3 linked regions of the Arabidopsis thaliana genome follow. The protein of the gene in region 2 purifies or fractionates together with the protein of the main gene of each other region. This does not show direct contact. Each region holds a gene or a part of one and is shown on either strand. Other genes may lie near its edges. The genes, in order: PDF2, PFD3 and PFD1.

Evidence for each region.
Region 1: the proteins of PFD3 (region 2) and PDF2 fractionate together in Arabidopsis thaliana (co-fractionation; one large-scale study listed by BioGRID). This does not show direct contact.
Region 3: the proteins of PFD3 (region 2) and PFD1 fractionate together in Arabidopsis thaliana (co-fractionation; one large-scale study listed by BioGRID). This does not show direct contact.

Annotation. Positions count from the first base shown.
Region 1 is NC_003074.8:7,965,976-7,970,286, reverse strand, and holds PDF2 (prefoldin 2), read right to left. Parts: upstream 2,299-4,311; 5' UTR 2,069-2,298; intron 1,710-2,068; exon of another isoform or gene 1,469-1,709; intron 1,221-1,468; 5' UTR 1,208-1,220; coding exon 761-1,207; 3' UTR 582-760; downstream 1-581. Other genes in the region: AT3G22490 (Seed maturation protein), read left to right, coding at 1-248, 338-502; AT3G22470 (Pentatricopeptide repeat (PPR) superfamily protein), read left to right, coding at 2,362-4,221.
Region 2 is NC_003076.8:20,079,026-20,083,583, forward strand, and holds PFD3 (prefoldin 3), read left to right. Parts: upstream 1-1,574; 5' UTR 1,575-1,703; coding exon 1,704-1,849; intron 1,850-2,015; coding exon 2,016-2,073; intron 2,074-2,155; coding exon 2,156-2,227; intron 2,228-2,822; coding exon 2,823-2,942; intron 2,943-3,030; coding exon 3,031-3,132; intron 3,133-3,341; coding exon 3,342-3,431; 3' UTR 3,432-4,017; downstream 4,018-4,558. Other genes in the region: AT5G49500 (Signal recognition particle, SRP54 subunit protein), read right to left, coding at 506-660, 749-853, 951-1,181.
Region 3 is NC_003071.7:3,043,896-3,047,419, forward strand, and holds PFD1 (PREFOLDIN 1), read left to right. Parts: upstream 1-1,627; 5' UTR 1,628-1,748; coding exon 1,749-1,772; intron 1,773-1,881; coding exon 1,882-1,935; intron 1,936-2,146; coding exon 2,147-2,252; coding exon of another isoform or gene 2,253-2,256; intron 2,257-2,331; coding exon 2,332-2,338; intron 2,339-2,418; coding exon 2,419-2,503; intron 2,504-2,600; coding exon 2,601-2,711; 3' UTR 2,712-3,009; downstream 3,010-3,524. UniProt on the Arabidopsis thaliana protein: Binds specifically to cytosolic chaperonin (c-CPN) and transfers target proteins to it. Binds to nascent polypeptide chain and promotes folding in an environment in which there are many competing pathways for nonnative proteins.

The sequences.
Region 1 (4,311 bases), on a different chromosome or scaffold from region 2:
AAGTTGTGGGTTTGAGTTTACAAAGTGCAATAACGATTGGAGAAGCATTGGAAGCGACTGTGCAAACCGCTGGAAACAAACCGGTGGATCAAAGCGACGCAGCAGCGATTCAAGCGGCAGAGGTTAGAGCTTGTGGCACTAATGTGATTGCTCCTGGTGGAATCGCCGCTTCTGCTCAATCAGCAGCAAATCACAACGCTACCATAGACCGTGATGAGGATAAAATCAAGCTCATTGATGTTTTGGCGGTTAAACCCCAATTTTAAAAACATCTTCAATGTCTTAATGTTTTAGTTTTAAGATTGTCTAAATGTGTTTGAACCGGATGGCTTATTAGGGTGCGACCGGGAAGTTAGCCGCAGATAAAGCTGTGACCAGGCAGGACGCAGAGGGAGTGGTGAGCGCTGAGCTGAGGAACAATCCTAATTTGTCTACTCACCCTGGTGGTGTAGCGGCTTCTATTACTGCCGCCGCTAGGCTTAACGAGAGAGCTGATATATGAAAAATCCTGCGAGAGGGAGATGTTTTGGTTCTGTTGTTCAAAAAAGTTCAGTCATAATGTAAAAAAATGGTCACTTTCCGGTTATAAAGTTGAAATCTTTCTCTAGCACAACGGATCTACATAAATATGGCATTTCTCCAGTCTACTAGTTTTGTGACATTCAAAACATGTTGATTTTTTCCAGCAAAGTTTACGGCTTTTAACCATAAGATCCAAAAAAGAGATACAACAGTAAAACAAACTGCCAAATATAGAGTTTTACTGGCTTGAACTGGCAGCTCCAACAAGAACACCTTGAGCATTACCTTCCTTCTTGTTACCTCCTTCCTTGTTATCTTCTTGTTTCGTTATCCTGATCTTATACTTAGCTTCAAACTCTGTAAGATCTTTCTTCTTTTTCTCCAATGTCTCGTATAGCTTCCTCACAACCTCTTCAAGTCCGTCCTTGTTACGTTGGACAGCTGGTAGTACCTCTTTGATGGTTCTTTCGACAAGAACGCCTCCTATCATGCGGAAGCATTTCCTCGATTGGTCGAGAGGCTGAATGGCGTTAATGACCAGAGAATGTTCGCTCACTTGCATCTCGAGGTCGGTTATGTTGGAGTAGATTTGGCTTAGCTCTGATCTCTTGCCTTCATACATGTTCAAAACAGCTTGCTCATTCGGCGGTTCTCTTAGGCCACCGCTTCCAGATTTGCTGGCCATTACTTCGATCCTACTACAGAAATTAGATCCAAGAAATCACGAATTGCATAGTTGAAGCAAAAAATGAGAGTAAATCAATAAAGAAACTCAAACAACAACACTCAGAGAAACATTTGCATCTGACACAACTACGAACCGAAAAACACAATTGTTACAAAACAATTCCAAGCACATTGGAAAGAATACTAATCACTTAACCAATGCAGAGAACTATCTTACCTCAAGAATGATTCATACTTAATTCATTATTCTCTCAGAAGTTATAAAATACAAAACATGGTGAAGCATAAGGCTTTTACCAGATCAAGATCAATCCTACAATCATTCCATCACTATCTTGTCACGAACAATCACGCCCTTTTCCATCAAATAGATCTAAATACTACAACAGCCACATCTAAACCAATGACATAGCTTATCCTTCAGAATCCATCAGTCTCATAGCATCAAATACACTTATACAAGTAGAAGCAACCAACACAGAACATTCCACAAAGTAGACGTATATGAGTTCACTAACAGTGTATCATCTCCTACATAATACTCCAATCTCAAACTATGGCAACAGAGACTCAAACATAGAAACGATAACAACAACCAATTTAACATCCTTTTCAACAATCAGGGCTATTTCTCCAAACTAGGGTTTCAACGTCTACTTATATCAACTCTCAACACATATATTCCATGATCTAAGCTAATTTTCTAACATTAACGAAGCTTGATTGGGATCTAAGAAGTCTCAGTGAAAATTTCTACGATTCCAGAGCTAGATTCTGTTTACTCCGAGATCGATATCGACACAAATCTTAAGACCATTTGAACCACAAAAAAAAATCAACAACTAACAAAAATACTTACTTTCAGAAACGAATCCACACACGAGGAAGAAGATCGAAGAAGAAGAAGCTTCGCTTGAGAGGAAACAATCGAGAGAACGATGGAAGCAAACGCGGCGCAGAGAGTGAGGAAGATGAAGAAACAAGGTTGGGTTTAACTCGTACCTTTCCCAATTAAAACCGCTTTGATTTTTAAATCAAAACATTGAACCGGGTTTAAATATATGAATGAATCAAAACCGGAATTTTCATTTCCTTCTTCTTCTCTTCTCTCTCACACAGCACAAAGGACCAACGATTCATTCATTGAAGAAGATGATACAGAGATTGATTCCTCTAAATCGAAAAGCTTCGAACTTTACTCAGATTCTTGAGAAAGGTACTTCTTTATTACACTATTCTAGTATCACCGAAGCGAAGCTTTCTTATAAAGAGAGATTAAGGAATGGGATTGTTGATATTAAGGTTAATGATGCTATTGATCTCTTCGAATCCATGATTCAATCTCGTCCTTTACCTACTCCAATCGATTTCAATAGATTGTGTAGTGCTGTTGCTAGAACGAAACAGTATGATTTAGTGTTAGGTTTCTGCAAGGGAATGGAGTTGAATGGGATTGAGCATGACATGTATACTATGACCATTATGATCAATTGCTATTGTAGAAAAAAGAAACTTCTTTTCGCATTTTCTGTTCTTGGGAGAGCTTGGAAGCTTGGGTATGAGCCTGATACAATCACGTTTTCGACTTTGGTTAACGGGTTTTGCCTCGAGGGTAGAGTTTCTGAAGCGGTTGCGTTAGTTGATCGGATGGTGGAAATGAAGCAAAGACCGGATCTTGTAACCGTTAGCACTCTGATCAATGGACTTTGTCTAAAGGGTAGAGTGTCTGAAGCTTTGGTTTTGATTGATAGGATGGTTGAGTATGGTTTTCAACCTGATGAGGTTACTTATGGACCGGTTTTGAATAGACTGTGTAAGTCAGGGAACTCTGCTTTGGCTTTGGATTTGTTTAGAAAGATGGAAGAAAGAAATATCAAAGCTAGTGTTGTTCAGTATAGTATTGTTATTGATAGTCTTTGTAAAGATGGGAGCTTTGACGATGCGCTTAGCCTTTTCAATGAGATGGAGATGAAAGGGATTAAAGCTGATGTTGTTACGTATAGTTCTCTTATAGGAGGTCTTTGTAACGACGGTAAATGGGATGATGGTGCAAAGATGTTGAGGGAGATGATTGGAAGGAATATCATTCCCGATGTTGTCACATTTAGTGCTTTGATTGATGTTTTTGTGAAAGAGGGGAAGCTTCTAGAGGCTAAAGAGTTGTACAATGAGATGATCACAAGAGGTATAGCTCCTGACACCATTACATATAATTCATTAATTGATGGGTTTTGTAAGGAGAATTGCTTACATGAGGCTAATCAGATGTTTGATCTGATGGTTAGCAAAGGGTGCGAACCTGACATCGTGACTTATAGTATTCTCATAAATAGCTACTGCAAAGCTAAGAGAGTTGATGATGGTATGAGACTTTTTCGTGAGATTTCTTCGAAAGGATTGATTCCTAATACAATCACTTATAACACTCTTGTCCTAGGGTTTTGTCAATCGGGAAAACTTAACGCCGCCAAAGAACTCTTCCAAGAGATGGTTTCTCGTGGTGTGCCACCAAGTGTTGTAACTTATGGTATTTTGCTGGATGGTTTGTGTGACAATGGTGAACTAAATAAAGCATTGGAGATATTTGAGAAAATGCAGAAGAGTAGGATGACTCTTGGTATTGGTATCTATAATATCATCATTCACGGGATGTGCAATGCTAGTAAGGTCGATGATGCTTGGAGTTTATTCTGTAGCCTCTCTGACAAAGGAGTGAAACCTGATGTCGTGACATACAATGTAATGATTGGAGGACTATGTAAGAAAGGCTCGTTGTCTGAAGCCGATATGCTGTTTAGAAAAATGAAGGAGGATGGGTGTACTCCGGATGATTTTACGTACAACATTCTTATCAGGGCACATCTTGGAGGTAGTGGTCTAATCTCTTCAGTTGAACTCATAGAAGAAATGAAGGTGTGTGGGTTCTCTGCAGATTCTTCCACCATAAAGATGGTTATTGATATGTTATCAGATCGTAGATTGGATAAAAGCTTTTTGGATATGCTTTCTTGATTGTCTAATCTGATCTACAAGAGATAAAGAAAATATTTTTGTTTGTAATTCCAAATCACTAAAATATTGTACCAAGCTTGGGGCTATTTA
Region 2 (4,558 bases):
TCTGCTATCACAGTATGCCCTGGCTAATGGTTTCAATCCATAAGAGTTTTTTATTTTATATATATTTCGTCATGTTATTGACATTGAAGTAAAACCAAATTGACAAATTGCAAAATAGAAACAGAAGATAACACAAGACCTCAAAATATCCATTTATGTATACTGTACAAATCTATGAAAAAGACGTGAGATCCCTTGTTACAGTGGCACTGTAAAATGAATACCGAAAAAAGAGCGCAAAGAAAAAACTGGCAAAAGGGATTTAAAGGTAACTGGAGAGGGATATATTCAGTAACCGTAGTGGCGTAGTCCTCGAGTGTAAACCAAACAATTTCATAAATGGTGTACCATGGCTCTACCGTCAAAAATAAAATTACATCACTTTTGTACGTGAGCTAATATATTTGGAAATGCAAGCACCAAAGGTCTTCCAAGCACGCAGGAAGAAAGCTAATAACTAAGATATAAGATTTTTTAACACTGCAAAAAGGGTTGATGTCAGTACCTTCCATAATAGGGGATCTTAGATTTGGTGGCATTCTGTTTCAGCTGATCAAAAGCACCTGCCCTGAAAGTATCCGCACACACTAGAGCTGGTTTGTACCCTTTTCTTCTGATGATAATAAGCATACTTGGTACAAGTTGTGGTTTTTCCAGCACCTAACACACAGTCAAAAAGTTTTGGACGATTTTAACAATGAATTTACAACTACACAAAAGCATAGCATCTTACAGAGAGATCAGATACCTCACCTTGTAATCCGACGAACATAACTACACTAGGTTTGGCCTTTTTGGGAGCAAATGCAGACTTTCCTGGATCCAACATCTTACAGAGTTCACTGAAGATCGCCTGAAAGAGAATCATAAGAACTTAATCACAAAAAAAAAAAAACGTAAACCTATTTAATCGAAATTAGACATGCAGAATCTGCGGTAAAGCCTAAGACCTGCTCAATGATACGACGCTTGTTATGGCCGGCTGCTAGATCCTCAAGGTTGACGATTTTCTTAATATTGGTCTGCATCTCCTTCACAAGGGGGAAAGAAACATCGGACTGGAGCAGAGCACGAGTGATCTCGTTCAAGCAATCATTCAGAGCCTTTTCATCGATTATTGTCACATTGTTCATCTTCTGTATGGCGCTCATAATCCGACCTCCAAGCTCCGCCAACACCATTTTCGCTGCTCTCTGTATTCTTCTACCTCAAATTAGGTTGATCTATATATCTGTTGTCGGATTTTGGAAGATCTAGCGAGACGGGAGAAGCTGAGTATCTTTTTTTTTTTTTGGGGGTCAAACATTGAGTATCTTAGATTCATTTCTATATTCTAAAAAATTATAAACCGGTTAGGATCAAAACGATGGGCTTAACATAGCTCCATAGGCCCAATAGTAAGTTGTTCCCCTACTGAATTGAATTAGAACCAAATAAGTGCTAAACCAATGGTACAATTTTCAAAAAAATTCATCGTGAATACGGAACCGGCCTAATTAATTTACAAAACCGCGTCCGTCTTCAATAGTAATGGGCCTGCGAGGCCTTTTTATCCCCTTCTTAAAAAACGACGGCGTTACACTACTCTAATTCCGACTACGGACGCCGTGTCGGAGTCGTCAGATTCGAAAAACATACAAAACCAAGTCGAAGCTTTTAAAACCCTAAATCCCCAAATCGGGAACTGAGATTCCGATTCGAAGATGTCGTCGTCTTCTCCGAGTGGAAGCGGTAGTGATTTGACTGAGAGAAGAGGGATCCCTGCCGCCAAATTCATCCAAGATGTGGAGACTTATCTCTCTCAGTCTGGTCTCGATCCTAACTCTGCTCTCGCCTTTCACCAAGAAAGGTTTCTCCTCTTTCTAGTTCTCATTTTCACTCTGAAAGTCTACTCATTTATCTGAGTGTGTTCTTCTTAAGCTCAAATCCCAGATCTCCTACGGATTTATAATCAATTGAATCCAAAATCATTACTTGTGATTAATCCTTTATGGTTTCTCTTTCTATGGTTTTAGGCTTCAGCAATATAAAGTTGTTGAGATGAAGCTTCTTGCTCAACAAAGGGATCTTCAGGTTCACTTGTTTCTAGTTTATGTATGATGCTTTTAAGTTATCTCTACTTGATGATATCTCACTAGTGTTGGTAAATGTGTAGGCTAAAATCCCAGATATTGAAAAGTGTTTAGAGGTTGTTGCTACTTTGGAAGCAAAGAAGGGTACTGGTGAGGTTCGTCGTTGTTCATTTTCATTTTGTTTAGCTTTGATGTTATGATCAGTGTCTTGCTACTGTTTTTGAGATGGATTGTGAGTATATATAAATGTAGAAACATTGTTATTTAAACTTTTGAATCCAGAATCCAGAGTTTTTATTCCATAATGTTGAACTTTGTTGTGCTTTGATTTCTTACCAATCTTTGAATGCAAGCTTTTGTGTTCATGTGAAGATATTTTCTTTTCTCTTCTGCGCGAGTCAGTCTTACTTGCAACATTTCCTTAGAATCTCATAAGCCTACTTGCATTTGAAAGTCTGTTTTTGAAGATCGAGATTGATTGGTTGAAAAGACAATGTCGAAATCACTAATCAGAGTTCTTATTTATTCCTATGGCCCCTTAAATTAGTGTTAAGTGGTGTTTGATGGTGACAGCAGAACATGTTGAGTTCTTGCTTCACTGGAAGAATCAGTGAATCGCTGACACAGAGATTGTAGTGGGCACGATGTTTTGTCTTTCCTATATGAAAGTGTCTTTGGTTTTTAGACTTACTGTTGATTCTTGTGTTCTTCATCATTATTTTCTCACATGGAATTCTTCTTACAATGCAGGCGCTCTTAGCTGATTTTGAGGTGTCTGAAGGAATATATTCACGGGCCTGCATTGAAGACACAGACTCAGTGTGTTTGTGGTTGGGAGCTAATGTCATGCTGGAATATTCCTGTGAAGAGGTCCATTACCCTAAAAACATATTCTATTCGCTATTTTAAATCTCCGGGACCATAGAATAAGTTCTTATAATCTTTGTTGTTCCAACAGGCTTCAGCTCTTCTGAAAAACAATCTGGAAAATGCTAAAGCCAGCCTGGAGGTTCTTGTAGCTGATTTACAGTTCTTGAGGGATCAAGTCACAGTTACTCAGGTACAGAGATACTTGTAAATTTATCTCATTTCATTTGAGTTAGCCCCTAATTCGTGAGAAGTTACATATAAGTAGGGGCCTGATCTTACTTTAACATAACTGTTAATTATCAAAAACCCAAAATTGCAATTTAGGCAACCTGTATTGTAGATACATACAAAGATTGAGTAAAGAGTAGTCTCTGACTAGGACTTTTTGGTGATCGACAGGTAACTATTGCACGTGTTTATAACTGGGATGTTCATCAAAGGAGGGTTAAACAAGTTACCCCTACTGCTATTGCTGTTGCAGATTCATGAACTAGAGATCCAAATTATAATCGTGTGGGCTTAAACGAGGTAATATGATTATTTGGACACCTTTTGCCTCAATCAGGTTGTTTGTAACTCTTAATCTTTGCTATCTTTATGAAATTTGTGTTGCTGCGACAAACCTATGAATAGAACATTAGCATTGTTATCATCGCTTGCCTTCCGTTTTTCGCTACATACCTGTGGAGTTTTGAGATCAGCTTGTGTTCCCCGCTATTGAAGTATTACTTTTGTAAGGGATGTTAGAGATATATCAAACTATTTGCAGAATCTGGTGGTCTTGACTAATGTCCCAACTTCCAAGTGTTCAGAAGATATGATTCTAGAAGTAAAAGGATGAGAAATTACTAAAAGTCAAGTTGTGTCATTTTCTCCGAAATTTTTATGTTCAATATTGGTGACGGCTTATACTTTTGGTTAGCAAAAAGTGGAAATGGGAAACAAAACGTGATCAAATCGAACCTTTTTATCAGCTTTTCTCATTTGTGCATATGCATTTAAAGGAATGAGATTCATTTTCTGAATATAACATCTTTTCTTGTCACTGATACGACGTTTTATAGTAAATCTTTTGGGAGGATTTAACCAACCATTATTAAAACAAACTCTTATTTGATGATTTGGTCATGATCTTTGCCATATTCAAATACTTTGGGTATAGGTTATTTTAGGCATCAATTTGGGTATCATGTTCTGTGTAATTCCCTTTAACAAGTTGAGAGTATTATTTATGATCGTTTTGATAAAGAATATTAGTACGAGAGAGCAAACAAAAATAGGGCATTCATCAACGGATTCTGCTTCCACTGCCATAGAAAATGAACCTCTCAATTAATGATGGTCCATATTTCACTTATTGACTTTCACTTCTTCTTCTTTTTTGACAACTTTTTATTTGTTTATCAATTTTATTTCCTTATTTTTCCTCCAAACATTTCCTTCATATTTGGCCTCTTTTAAACCACTCTTTGCACCAATATTTTTTAAACCACTCTTTACACCATTATTTTGAAATTATCTAATATCTATGACACTAACTTGATACATTGTACATCTAATTTCCGGAAAAACACTTCTTCATGATTATATACGATCTCGACATTGATGTATATTAG
Region 3 (3,524 bases), on a different chromosome or scaffold from region 2:
AGCTTCCTATTTTCTCTTGCAGTTTCATTTGTATTACAATCACCTGTTCTATTGTTAACAACTTTTCCCGTTCCACTGCTGTTTGCAAGTAAATCAGTTGGATGCTTAATCGAAGACGTTATCAAATCATCAATTTCCATGTTCGAACCTGCACCTTCCACACTGGCCACCAATTCTGTGTCTACTGTTGGTGACGCAAATCCCATTCTAACATCAGCATCTTCTTCCCCGACACATATTATATCCAATGCATTTGAGCCACCCATGTCCTCATCCAAGAATGGGCTCCAAAACTCCACATCATAAGATTGGGGTTTTACTTCTATAATCTCATCCCAAGTAAGATCTTCGCTTCCTTCATCCACTAGATCTTCATCATCAAGATCTTCAGATAAAATTTCACTAACAAGAGGACCTCGTTCACAACCTATAACTCTTTCTATAGTTTCAAGTTCTGCAACAAATTCTTCATCTTCGGAGGACAGCAAAAATTCTTTCAACCCGACCTTCGATATACTATCTTCTGATCCACATAAACGTTTCGACTTATTCCCTCTTCCGTCATCTTCCTTAACTGAACTGGTCTTCACTAGCCCACCGTCAACCTCAGAATTGTTTAAAACTCTTTTACAAGATGTTCCAAACTTTACAAACATGTTGGTTCCAACATTTGCTTCCAATATCTTCATAAAATAACTTAGCCCCACATCAGTCGTCACGACGACCGGTGGTGTTTTATCTCCGGTGGTAAAATCTCTTATATTTGGGGTACAGAAGCTTAAATCAACCTTCGTACTCGTTGAAATTCCAAATTCTACTCTAATGGCTTCCACGAATTCTGATAGCTTAATACCTTTATATACAGGCACAATTCGAGATTTCATTACCTTATTAACCTCAACATACCACTTCTCATCCTCCTCGCAATTCCAATCCCCGCATATTACATAACAGAAGCCATCCTCAGTTCCCTGCAATATATAAATTTTTTATCTTAGACAGTCAATAATATATCAGCGAATATTTTCTACTATTGTTACCAATCCATTTTTTCTTACCATCGTTATGATATCTTTGTTAGTTGCTTCAAACTTCAGAGCTTCTCTTTCTTTTGTTCATCGTCATTCAAACTTCGATGACATAGTTATTCGTTCCATGCTTTCTCCGGTTTGCAAAAACAAAATAAACCGGTTTCCCCAAACTCTTACCCTAAATAACCGATTTTACTTGATTTAATTAATAGGGTCAATTAAGTCTTTTTCCCCCTTATAATTGATCACCCTTATAATTGATCAGAAGTGTGCCTGTCGGCAAAACTTTTGCTCAACATGTTTTCGAAAGTGTATGATAATGCAAATCACCCTTAAAATATAATATGGTAAAATAATTTGGTGGTGTTAGCTGAATTGGTTACGATACAAACAATGGTTTGGGTGGTTGATTATACAAGAAAAAAAAGACAATGACTTTGAGTCTTTGATTTACAAAATCATGGTACAATCTAAAACCAAATGGGTAAATTAAATTGTGTTATTGGGTAGAATTGTTTGTTCCAATGCAAACACATATTTTTTTAAAAGTATAAAATCATCGTTAATTATAAATGGGCCGATTTGACCCAATAAAGCCTTGATAAACCGGGCTAAGCCGTCTGAAACCCGACCCGGGTAGTTCTAACTTTTTGACCCTAAAACGAAAGACCCTTCTCTAGCACGTCGGGGTTCGTTCAAAGATCAAGATCTGCAGACATGGCGGACGAAGCAACCAGAGCTGTGAGTACCTCTCTCTCTCTTAAATCAGCTCAATTTTCTAGTGGAATATTCTTCTTTCCCCAGTAAGATGTTGCAGAAAATGGAATTGTAATGTGTATAGTTACAACAGGCTTTTATGGAGATTCAAGCTAGCATGATTGAACTCACTGGGAAGCTCAAACAGGTGAATCCTCACTTTCTTTGTATTTATCAAGTTTTAGAATCAAACGTGACACATTGTATAAGGGTTTACTTGTAATTTGTTAGTTCTTGAACTGTGTTTGGTTTTATAATCCCTTCTTTCATGTTGTGTAATGACAAAATTGGCTTTCCTAGGTTATTGTCATGTGGTGCTGAAAAACTGAAATGTGAATGTGGATGGGTTTTATATATAGGTGCAGAATCAGATGCGCAACAAAGAGGGAGATAGAAAGCGAGCTTTCTTAACCTTGGAGGAGCTGAGGCCATTGCCTGAAGAGACAAACACCTACAAGTCAATAGGCAAGTGATTCAATTCTCTGGTTTTGAGACAAGGACTAGTAAAGTTTTGGTCTAATTTGTGTTTTATTCTTGTTTTCAGGAAGAACGTGAGTGGTGGTTATTAGTCAGTCCAACTAGAGGCCTTTAGAGAATTTTGAAGGCTGATTATAGTTTGTATGGTGAACAGGTTTGTTCTAGAGCCCAAGACAGTGCTGGAGGGTGAACAAGAGCAAAAACTCAAGGACAGTGAAGCTGCCGTTGCTTCTCTACAGGTAACAATCATTCCCTCTTTCAACATCTTATTGGGTTATTAGGAGATCATTGAGATGCTGGTTATCAAACATGTTTTGTTTTCGGGATGATTTTTAGACATCCAAGGAATACTTGGAGAAGCAGGTAGCAGAGGTTGAGAACAACTTGAGGGAGCTGTTGCAGCAAGAACCGGGCATTGCTCAACAGATTATGTCCATGTCTATGTAACTTTTGTATTATCCCAAACCTTTGAGTTTGGAGAGCTTTTGGGATTGAAACCATAACATGTTCTAGTTAAAAGTTGTAACATTCAAAAGTTTTTGTTCGATCAGTATTGTTTTAAAGCCTCTGGTCTATGATATTGCAAAAAACTGAGATTTCTTATGCGACAACAAATGCATGATCTATCTAACTCGAAAACAAAAATTTTAACAAGGATGAGGTCTCTCTATGATTCTTCGGAGAGAAAACTCAATCCTTGTTCCACCGTTCGGTATGCTTACCGGCTTTCGTTGTCCGGATGAGAAGACTTTGTTTCCGGTGTGGTCTGGCTCTGTTTTCGGTGTGATTCGGCTCATATTTCGGGTATTTGTTGCTAAAATGGAATTCGCTTTGTTTCTTGAGGGAAGATTAGGATAAGTCGATTGAATAATTTTCCGGCGATCTTGGCCGGAATTGAAGCTTTCTGATCAACGGAGACTCTCACATCTTCAACTTTGCATGTGTCTTCTAACCTGCTTCCTGCTTGCCACATGTCTAATATAATGCATTTAAGCTTTTCCTTCAGCTTTCTTATTGGACTTTGTTTTCTTTTGTTTGGCTTCCTTGGTTTAGTGTTTGTAAAATATTGGCATGTTACTTTGGCTTTCTATACTAAATAAAACACACTTTTGACAAAAAAAAAAAAAAAAAAAGACTACAACTCGAGATTGCATCTAACATTGTGAATATATATAAATTTAACCTCACAATCTAAACACAAGTAGATGTAATATATATTATGAATTCAGTGAAACAATAGTTAAAACTCAAGTTGATCAA